Drosophila melanogaster: one gene and its partners. The protein of the gene in region 2 interacts with the protein of the main gene of each other region in a pairwise test. Each region holds a gene or a part of one and is shown on either strand. Other genes may lie near its edges. The genes, in order: Sap-r, Nup133 and slam.

Region 1 (3,754 bases), 8.2 Mb from region 2:
AAATCAAAGCCCATATCATCTCATATAAGCAAATAGCATTTAAAGCACAACACTTTGATGGAAAGTAACCCTATATTTGTTCAATATAAATCGATTTGACTGATTCGAACGGAAAGTGCTAATTTCCATTAACATGAAGAGACGCCTGCGGTGGAATCGCCAGGAATACCAAACAAAAGCGTCTAAATAGCAAAAAATCAGCACTGATAAGCACGGAAATAAACAGTACATATGTATGAATGATATATCTGGACGTATCCACGTATATATTATTCACTTGGCTGCGCATTCACAGATATTGTTTTCTGAATTTTCAACAGCAATGGCGACGTTTTTAATTTTTGACACTCTGCAATTGAGAAACAAAGAAACGGTTAAGAGCCAGAAATGGCGGATTTTCCTGGCCATTTAAAAATAAATCAATCAATAAACAAAGGAATTACGACTAGCGATAAGCGATGGATGGGTGCTTAACAAATGTTTTCAGTTGCCTATTGATCGCTTTTACTCTATTAATGATGCAGTCCATGTAAATGTTTTCAAGTTTATCTTGGTGTAACATACATACATATGTACGTACAGTATAGCTTCTGTAAGGTGATCCTTTGTGGCCGCAATGTAATATCACTCCATTGAGGAATTTACAATTGTGAGTATGGCTAAGATAAGGGTTTCAAGTGCATTGTGATTGTGTTAAGGCTTAGAAGTTGCACTTTCGGATGTTCCCCTGTACTCATCATACGCCTGAGGGATTAGTCAGAATTCGTTGATAAGGAACAACTGTTGCCGCCTACAGCGAATTAACAATGATAAACAAAGCAATCATGTGGTTTGTTTGGCGGTGCACAGAAAAGGGAGCTGTGTCAAAACGATCTGCTCCTCTGGATTACTCATGCATATAATCGGTGTCGATAAAGTTGTGCCCCCTACGAGCGCTTAACTCTGCCGTCTAAATGTTCCGACTGGCGGTACTGTTAATTTGATTTGTACAGCGAATGTGCAGACAAAGGAAATCCAGAAATATGGGATATGAAGGCAGAGAGTATTGCGAAAAGTGCACTCAGAGAAAACATCGAGTCTGTAAAACAATACAACGCAAAATAAGGGGACGCAATTAGAGCGGCACTAGTGTTAAGTTTGCAATAACAGGGGTTATCGGCGAATAGAGCTATGTAGAGCAAAGTGATTCGATTCCCGATTCGAGTGATAGTCTTATCGGCCGAGAACAAAACAGAACAGACGAGTCTTCGCTGCAAACAATGGGCAAGTGAGGCGGAGAAGTAATATCGCTATTTGGAGGGGGGTTAAGAGAGGTTAGCTTTTCGCCTTCGAGAACTTTGTGGTGTTCGATGACCAAGCGATTTATCCGAATATACCGTTTATTGTATCACCCACTTTTTTGCACTCACCTGAAATTTCCGCACCAGTAGGAGGGTCCCCAGGTGCACTTGCTGGAGCCCAAAAGGGGCGTGGCAGCGGCGAAGACGCCTGCAAGAAAGCAAACAAACAAAGAGAGCAACGGTTGAGGAACAGAGTGCACAGCACGAATACGCAATAAGCTATGACTAAACTATTATTGTGGTTCCCTTTCAACGTCGCTTTTCGCACTTCTCTCCATCTCTTCTCCACTCACCAAAGGCGCAGCACAGTGCCAAAACGGCCAAGAGGCCTGCTCTCTCCATTTTCCCGGTTTTAACTGTACTTCTTAAATGTCGGCGGAGATAGTCCTCTATTTGCAGCTACGTATTTATTTCTGAACGAAAACTGAAGTGCAATTGCAACGATTGGTTCAATTTTTTATTTGTCTGTAGTGTGGCCGCCGTCTGTTTCGTCAAATATATACCGTAGCGATATAATAGTGCGACCAGTCAGCGATTGAATTATTGTTAAATTTATTTAACGATACTTATGGAGCAAGACTTGGATAATGCTTTTAGCATAAAACCAACCCAGTGTATACTTAGCAATCAGGGGGGAGCATGGACTCGAACCGCACTCTGTTAATAACAGAGATCTGTTTTTGCCTTTCAAAAAGCCATAAAAACCTCCGAGGAAGCTATCATAAAATGGGGTCAGCAAATCATTAAACTTAAAATGGTATAATAAACAATTAAGTAACCGATATGAAACTATTAGATTTGGGCCACCTTTCTATAGGGTGTTAAGTACATGGAGTACTTGAATACGTTGTCCTTCAAATTATAACTTCAATTATCGTAGAAGAAAATTATTGCTCCTAAAGTCGGAACAATTTATTAAATCACTCACTCAATCAACAAACAAAGCCTTCGCCACCCGCAAATGCCTCACAATGTATTTATAATCGATTGCAATCCGCAGATTTAATTACATATTGCCGCGACGAAACTATGACAATAACCATCAGCGATGTTCTTGAACTTAGCGCGGTTATTAATACGCCCCTTTTTGCCCAGCCCCATCGCTTAACCCCCCTTTGGCCAACTTGGCCAACTGTGCGACGTGAACTGGCAGGCACATGATTAAATTCTATTGTAATTGCGGGTTAATTGATGTGAGCCTGCCCAGATGTAAAGCTCGCAGGCATAAATGTTGGGGAAAATGCATCTCACTCGTAATGGCCGGCTAGTAGATTTTTCTCGCGATGCCTATCGGCGTGTAATTCTCGATTCCGAGGTGCGTATCAAGATCTGTGTGAGAATCGTCTGAAGATACATTCGCAAAGAATGCCAGACACATTCTCACAGCGATTGAAAGTCGAGGTCATCTGGTGGTGTTTGCCCAACGAAATGCCAAATGCAAGCGCCGATCCGGCCAATACGGCCATAACATGGCTATATCTGTGTCAAAACCAACGATTTGGCTGTTCAGGGGCTTAGAAGGAAACCTGAAACCTGTCGTGTTGACCGTGGATTGCAACGCCTGCCGTGCATTTCGGTTCTTTGACGGAGATTAACCCACTGAGACCTTGCTGAAATACTTGGTACTTAGAACCAAAAATTGTGGAAATATTAAATTGCACTCGATTAAATAGGAATTGAATTTAAGGTTTATGTGACCTTAGGCGAGGTACCATGGGGTAGTAGAGGGTTAATTGCAGCCAGACACTGCACTTGACACTTGAAGTCTGGCTGCGAGATTGATATTATGGCAATTGAGTGGACCGCCGCCAAAGAACAAGTAATCAAGTTCAGCAGTGAAGGAAATTTAGGCAATTAACACGCTTATAAGTGAAGCAGTAAATCATTGGACTAACGTTTAATTTCGGAGTTTCAAGAGCGAGATAATTTTCTGCTTTTATCCGCTTTTTTATGTCATTCATAAATTTGTTTACTCTAGAAGCGACTGCTTGTTTGGGTCTTTGAATTCAGCCAAGCCAAGTTATAGTCGGACAAAGTACAAAGTACGCCTTTTATTCCCTCCCAATTAACTTGGTCAAAAATCAGGTTCGGAAAGAATTAAATGCATCCATCCACAAGAGTGAAATTTCCGGCAGTTCACACGCTGGCAGATAAAATCGAGGCTCGAGATACATTTTGTGTTGAGTGACCCGCGGAGAGATTGGTAACAACTCTAATTGCCGCGATTGCCAAGTGCGTCACATAAGGCCCGTCTAATGGCTAATTGTTTATGGCCACTTTGGCTGACCTCTTGGGCAATTTCCCTTTCCCTATCCATGAAATCCGCCTGAAACTCCGAAACAGTTACTTTGGGGTAGTCGCTTTTCGGAGATCAGAGAACGTAGCTCACTAACTACTGCCTCACCATGCGGAAA
Region 2 (3,754 bases):
GCACTCAAAATGCGATCATCGTGCTGATGGAACTCGATCTTTTCCGCCTCTAGCTCTGCTGTCGGCACCGAGTTGGTCAAGTGCAGAGGATACACAACTTTAGAAGTATACAAATAGATGTGGCTGCTGCCTACTACAAAACGCACGCTGAGGCAATCCTCCTCAGTCTTGGCACTAAAGAATTTGTTCATATTGAGCGGCGTGAACGATTCCAGAAGCATTCTTTCAGCTTGAGCAGTGCCAGTCACTAAAATACTTAACATTATATACCATATCAAGATTTGCTGTCACATACTTCTTACCCAGAGCGTAGCACATTTGTGGAGCGTGAGCAGCATTCACAGCTCCAGCCAGTATATAAGCTTTGTTCTTAACCACGTGAAAGTCCAACAGATGGAGATCGATCTCCAAACTATCCGCTGGGAGTCGGAACTTCCAAAAGTTCGTTATAAACTCTTCGCGTATCCTGCGCAACATATCCGCATCCTCGTACAGAAGGTTTTCGGTGTTGCCATTGTTGGACAGACTCCAGCGCTGGATTGCACGATCAGAGAGCACGGCCACAATGGTTTCTCCACTTTCTAAATTGCTCTCGCAGCACATGCCGACCAAAGTCTAAAAAACACTTCATGAGATTTTTGTCCCATGCTGGACGAAGATACTTACTTGATCCTTGTCTGCACCCGTGTTCATTCCAATCAAAATGGAGGCAAACTTTTTGCCAAAACCACCAAGGAAGCTAGTGGCAGGCTTGATAGTCTTATGGTGAAGTGTGTAACGTCCGTTGGTCAGTCCGACTCGCAGGAATACCAGATTGCAGGTGGTTGTAACGGCTAGGTAGCCCTGCTGCGTTGGTAGACTGAGCAGCTGGACAAACTCTTGGCCAGTTAAGATGGAAAGATCCACGGAGTTCCCATCGTGCGCAATCGATGACCAGTACCGAACTTCTCCCGTGGCTGATACCGCTATGCAGGAGGCCATTTGCTGACCCTCCGTCTGGAAAACACTGATTAAATCACTCTTGTGACCCAGGTCACTGTAAGGTAAAGTCAATTCACGGCACTGGGCCAGACCACCACCACGTCTTGCCAGTTTGCCCACACGAGGTGGCGAGCCCGACTTGGCCGTGTCCTTATACTGCCAAATCAAGAGGCGTCTGCCTTGGACAACCTGAAAAGGTAATCGTACTGATTGCTGAACCAGATACAATGAGAGTTGCTGATATATTACCCAAGCCCAACCGTTTTGCGTCACTTTGGCTGTTACTGTGCCCGCTCCTGGACCTGCGAAGGTTAGTGCCTCATTGACCACCACCGGCAGTGGACAACCGAAGCTCTCTACCGAATTGTAATCGGATCGGATGCCGGCAATGGACTGAGTGGAACGCACCGACAAGCTGAGCCGGCTGAAAAGGATTGTTTGATGAGTGGGAAATTCCAGGAGAATAAGTTAGCACATACCTGTTGGTCAGGGCAGTCCTTTTGAGGCTCCCCGACATCTGGGCGCAACTGGCGCTGCCGCCAAAAATTGATTTACGCGTGCTGTCTGCCGAGGCTGCTGGCATGCTGTACCTTCGTGCACCTGGTGAAGATTCGCGCGATATGCCGTATAATTGCTTCTGCAGATTTCTCTCCATTTTTGTGCTGGCTCTTATTTGGGAAATGCCTATAAATCAAAAATAAACAACTACTTTTGCAACAGCAAACAATCTAGCCGGCATGTGTGTGAATCGATTTTTGATGTCGCAATATCGAAATCACAGCTGAGTACATTTGAGTTATTTATCGATTAGAAGTCACGACATTATACACAAAGAACACAAATTTAAATATAGGAAATTATTTATACTACATAAATGTATTTTATATACTATATACGATGAATAATTAAACTTTGGTAAACAAATTTTTAAATTAATAATTATATTAACTAATATTTGTGAGTCCATCTCTAAGACAAGTTCTACACGATGCCATCGCTAAGTCAAGACTAGAATTATTTCATAGATTTTCGTAAACAAAGCGAAAAACTCGACATAGATGGCCACCTGGACGCAAAATGAGCCGACAGGTGTCACCAAGCGCAGGCGTTGGAATCTGGAAGGTAAATCTCTGAGCTTTGATTGATACACGTTCATAAAGTGAAGATGTTTTCCCTTACAGATCGTGCCTCCTTGAACAAACTTAAGCATCACATCGCCGAGGAGGGATGCCCCCAGATGCAATACGATCTGGCCAAAGAGTTACTCGATAATTCCATAGGTGAGTGTAAGGATTTGCTCGAGAATTACAAGATAATGAAGATTGCTATGTCCGCAGTAGAGCCCAATCTTGCCAAAGGCAATCAGAGCCAGAAGGCCGTCAACTGGCTGGTGAGTGCAGCACACAATGGACACGAGGATGCAGTCAAGCTGCTACGCCAGTGCTACAACGATGGCAGCGGTATTACGGCAGAGAATACGGACGAAGTGCGTCGCTGCCTGGCTATGACGCCTGGTGAGCGGGCTGCCAGAAAAGCAGCCCGGGAGCTTTTTGCCTGCCTATCAAATGGAAACGAGCATATAACGCCCAAGCAGCTGGAGCGCAAAATGCGGCGCATCTACAATCTGCAACGCAAGCGGCGTCGACGCGATGATGACCGCTCCTCGTCGAGCAGCGAGGGCGAGCAGGAGCCGGAGTGCGAACCGCTCGAAGATGTGCCCACCATTGACCTAGCCAATGTGGAGCGACGCCGCCTCATCACCGAAGCTCACCTCGTTTCGGCAGCTTCCAATTACAGTGCCGGACAAATGCCCAGCGTTAATGATGCTCTCACATTATCCGTCCCGGATCCTAGGAGCTTGGACCATGTACCCTGCTTCTACCGCATGATCTTCCACCCGCTTATCTTCTTCACCCTGTTCTACCACCGGCTGCTTAACTTGATTGTGTCCATACCCAACGTCATCCCTCTGAGCGTGCGCTGCAGCGTGCTCGTTGCAATCTCTTGGTGGAGCAGCCGGCATATGCTGCCCCTGGTCAGCTATTATCTCAGTCTGGGCATCATGATCTGGGCCACGTGTAAGATGCTGAAAACCAAACAACAGTTCGTGGACTTTCGCATCTGGTCGGGACTGTTCCTGAGCTACGGGGATCAGAACATCGAGGCGGACATTGCGGAGCATCGCTTTTTACGCAACAATATGAAGCCGTACCTGTACTTCTTTTGTGCCTTCATTTGCAACCTGATTGTCTACCCGTTGGTCACAGACGCCTGGCTGCCACACTCGGAGCTGACTATAATCTCTGGAGCCTTGACCTTCATCACCATGTGCGTGTCCATGTACGCCTCCTCCCACCAACTGCCTGACTGGCTAGTGATTGTTTCCTTTGCCGTAAATGTTCTTGCCAAATATCCGTACGAAATGGACGAGGTTGTGTCTACGCGCTGGCGCTTTCTTGACCTACGCGTACCTACTTTCTCATCGTTTGTCATTGGCAATGGCATTGAATTCTGTTTGAATTGCCGCACTGCCTTGTATCTCTTTATTCCGGTGCTGCTAATTATGATGGCCAAACGCTCCCGTTGGCATGGAGTCTACACATTCCTCATCCCGCACTGCGTCACGCTCAGTTGGCTGCAAGTGTGCATAGCCACCTCGCAGAGTTCCACCGTTTTTGGAGTGATGCGAGCAGCCCTCGGCTTGGCTGGAATCGTCCTGTTCCTGCCTCTGTTCGGAATCGTGGCACTTCTGGTGCCTGTCTTCGTGGCCATC
Region 3 (3,754 bases), on a different chromosome or scaffold from region 2:
GTGCTGGCCACTTTACCCGTGTTACCCGCTGCCTTGGTGGTACCCAGTGTCTTTGTTGGCGTCACAGGTACCTCTTCGTCGAAGTACTTCATCAGATTCTCGATGCTGGACAAGTCCAGGTCGGTAACCTGCACTCGGCGCGGTGATGCAAACGAGTTTTGGTACTCCAGGGCGGTCAGGAAGCGATCATCATCCAGCGAGGAAATCTCGAAGAGTTCCTCCCTGGTCATCGTAGCTCGGAGCAGGCCACAGGCGGTGCTGGCATCTCCGTGGCGGCTGGAGCGACGACGTTCCTCGATCTCCGCGTTCAGCTGCAGTAGCTCGCTGAGATCATCACTGTTCATGGCTGCCGTGTCCACTACCATCTGGTTGTGCTTGGACTGGTTGTTCGGCGTGGAATTGCTTAGGACCATTTTGGTATTAGTTTGCTGTCTTGTTGTTGACGTTAGACGTTTCAGTTTGTAACTGTGGCTTTCTGGCATTTTGCTAATAGCTTATATACAATGATCAGGTAAAATATGGATTGGGTGCAGATTTTATTGCCCACCCACTGCCTCAGATTTTCCTTAATCCAACTAGCAGCGATCAGGTAAGATTAACAGCCGCAGCTGTCGGATCGATGGATTTTCCTCGCGCTAACCGATATTTAATTATTTTCGCGAACCTTTCCGCTATAAATATATATCCAGGTGACCTGAAACAAAGAAAACAGGTAGGTAATATTAGGGCTGTGCAATAGATGTAAAATGTAAGGTTCTGGAAAGAAGGGATAACCGAGGATTCACTCGAAAGACAGCTGACGGAAAGTCCTTAAAATTTAAATTCCAATTATTGCAGTAACTCAGCGAAATCAACTCCCAGCATCATCATTATACTGCAACCGAACGAATTTTCCGAGAAAAATGCGAATGTTAACAAGACCCAGGCGAATTGCAGCCACAATAAAAATCACACACTGAAAATTCTTCATCTGACTATTGCTGAAATTTGGAGCGAAAACGAACCGAATTCAGGACCCCAGGGATAAGCAGAACTTTGCTTGCAGTTTGCCACAAAGTGACTTTCACACCGACAGAGCCATAAAATGAAATCAGGGGCTGAGATTTGCGGATGCTCAGGTGGCAGAGCTGGAGCTGATGAGTTACAGAGCTACAATGATAAGTTCCATAATGGGATACATCTTTTAACTGCCTGATATTTAACGATTTTATCTTTAATTTTTGGTTTTAATGCGCTTTTTTACTTTTAGCAAAACGGAGTGCCTATTTTTTTATCACAAAGCTGAAGTTGTTTACATGGGAAGGGTATACTTTCCAAATATTCCAAATTTTCAAGACAAAAGCGTTCTCTAACCCTTTTTTGGGCTTTCTAAAACAGGCCGGCTATTTATATAAATTAGTTAACTTACTTTGTTAAGGATTTCCTTGTTGAACTATGATCTACTTTAGGCAACACAGTATTTAACACGCACAACTTCATAAACAAATTACAAATTAATTTTGTAAACAAAAGACCGCGAAAAAGCGTGGTTATTTGCGCCAAATAACATAGTACATTTACATCGATCTAAGGGCTCATTTGCCGGCTTTACGGAATATCACAGCTGATAATAAAGCCAATCACCACGAATTAAGAATCAGCTGATTGAATCAGCATCAAAGCTCAGTGCTTTTTAAACCGTAAACTAATCTAGACTTTAAATATCATCATGGGCTCAAGAAAATGATTAGAATGTCAATAACTTATATTCTAGGCAGACCAGTGAAGATATGAGAATTCGATGGCTATTAACGGCCAAAACGGCTTACAACTCAATGATACGATAAATTCAAACGGATTGCTCCCGTGGCCTGAATTCTATCAGACGTGCCTTTATTGGTATCTGAATATATTGCTATTTAAGCCAAAAGAGGCACACCAAAATCATTCAGATGGACAGTAGTTGGTCAGTTGGCAAATACCCCAAATGACAAACAAAGCAATCCCCGAAATACCATTCGACGGTGAAAAACATTTACAAACATTGTGGTCGCCAACAGCAGCGGCAAAAATTTAGTGGGTGCTTTATGATAAACTCATGTGGCTGGCGTTCCATATCCAACTGGAATGGACGGGGACGCAGTGGTTCCACTTGCTAAGTAGCCACCGCTTCTGTCGGCGACACCGGAACGCGAATATTTGGTTTCAGATTTTGGGCACTCAATGCAGGGCCATGCAATTTTGAAAATCTGAGCGGCGGCATGTACCCCGCTTTATCAGTGCGGGTTAATTAGACACTACCAGTTCTGTAATGTTGGCAATTATTTCATTGCCGCAAAATCCGTTTACTCGCATAACATGCCCACAATCGGTCTGAATGACGATGCGCGACTTGTAATTTCATCAGCCCTATCAGTCCGTCCGTCCGTCTGTCAGTCTGTCTGTCTGTCTGTCTTCCAGTGCGCCACCTTCGCTGGCAAATCAATCAATTCCGCACAGACCCACATACATACATACATACTTACTCCGCCGAGCGAGCGCACGTGACATGGAACCCCGAGTGGCGGGCAAGACCGCCGGAATCCGGGGGTCAAGGAACGAACCTCAGCCGAGCCGAGTGGAGCACCGCCGTGGCGATCAGAAGCAGCGAGTTTGTTGCTGGCTTCCGACTAACACCACACCATTCGCAATTCGCTGCTCCGATTGCGTCACTCGGCTTTCCGCGTTCCGCTGGCCAAGCGGTTTATTTTAAAACTAATTATAAGCCAGCCCAAATATAATGCACAGCCGCTTTGAATTACATGAATGAATGAAATTCAGCACTGATAAGCCGTTCGACGGAAAGAGGAACTGCTGGCCATATCGCAATAGCCCACACTCAGCATAATGTAGCCGCGTTGGATGAGCTCTGGAATTCAGACTGCTAAAGATGTGTTTATCCTTTACATTTTGCTGACTCACAAGAAACTAGAAAATAATCTGAAACATACCAAATTGGAACCGCAGAATATTGATTTAGATGACTGAGCCCCACACCCCATTTCACATGAGTAGCTCGAGTGTCTCGAGGCATACGTTCTTTATCGCAGAATCAATTCAAGTTTCCCGTTTCTAGTCCATTTGTGGGGCAAAGACAAACGTACGGTCGCCCATTCATCGGAAACAACCACGATTTGGGGCTGACCGCTGTTTGACACGCGGCTCACGCGCTATCATCCCGGCAGGTTGTTAATGGCCCATTAATGCGGTTGCCAGGCGAAACCGACCGCTTGCCACGCGCCTTCAAGACCCACGCGGCGTATGAGCGATTTGCGCGACGACCTTCAACAAGTTGCACAGTGCAACCACCGACTTGGGGCCGGGATTTGGAATCTAAGTCGGATTCTGGATGGTCGTCGCCCTCTGGGCTGCCGTCTGCTCCGCGCAGGATGGGTGTTAATTAGCAAATAAATAAAAGCACGCCGGGTAACACATACGCACCGTGGGCAAGCAAGGAAAAGCACACGTGAGCTCTTCGGCAGAGGAAATCGGCAAAAGTTCAAGGTGCACAAACAGAGTCGAAACATTTTGTACTTTTAAAAAGGTTCTCGCTCACACTGTTAAATATTTCGACTGAAGGAAGCATCCCATTTTCTTTATTTCCTCTGCGTAGGTGTGAGTACCTACCCCCCTATTTTTTCAGTGCCTGACAGCGAACATCCTGGAAGGGCATCTACTGCTCACCGATGTCTTGTCTATCACGTTGCACACGTAATTGAAAATTAACTCAGTCCGT

Evidence for each region.
Region 1: the proteins of Nup133 (region 2) and Sap-r interact in a two-hybrid assay, tested with the Drosophila melanogaster proteins (one large-scale study listed by BioGRID).
Region 3: the proteins of Nup133 (region 2) and slam interact in a two-hybrid assay, tested with the Drosophila melanogaster proteins (one large-scale study listed by BioGRID).

Annotation. Positions count from the first base shown.
Region 1 is NT_033777.3:30,887,252-30,891,005, forward strand, and holds the start of Sap-r (Saposin-related), read right to left. Parts: upstream 1,812-3,754; 5' UTR 1,683-1,811; coding exon 1,634-1,682; intron 1,576-1,633; exon of another isoform or gene 1,489-1,575; coding exon 1,410-1,488; intron 1-1,409.
Region 2 is NT_033777.3:22,688,582-22,692,335, reverse strand, and holds the start of Nup133 (nucleoporin 133kD), read right to left. Parts: upstream 1,730-3,754; 5' UTR 1,637-1,729; coding exon 1,461-1,636; intron 1,406-1,460; coding exon 1,231-1,405; intron 1,171-1,230; coding exon 667-1,170; intron 616-666; coding exon 303-615; intron 248-302; coding exon 1-247. Other genes in the region: wfs1 (wolfram syndrome 1), read left to right, coding at 2,040-2,103, 2,163-2,261, 2,319-3,754. UniProt on the Drosophila melanogaster protein: Probable component of the nuclear pore complex (NPC). Plays a role in NPC assembly and/or maintenance.
Region 3 is NT_033779.5:6,370,236-6,373,989, reverse strand, and holds the start of slam (slow as molasses), read right to left. Parts: upstream 1,603-3,754; 5' UTR 1,409-1,602; intron 695-1,408; 5' UTR 414-694; coding exon 1-413.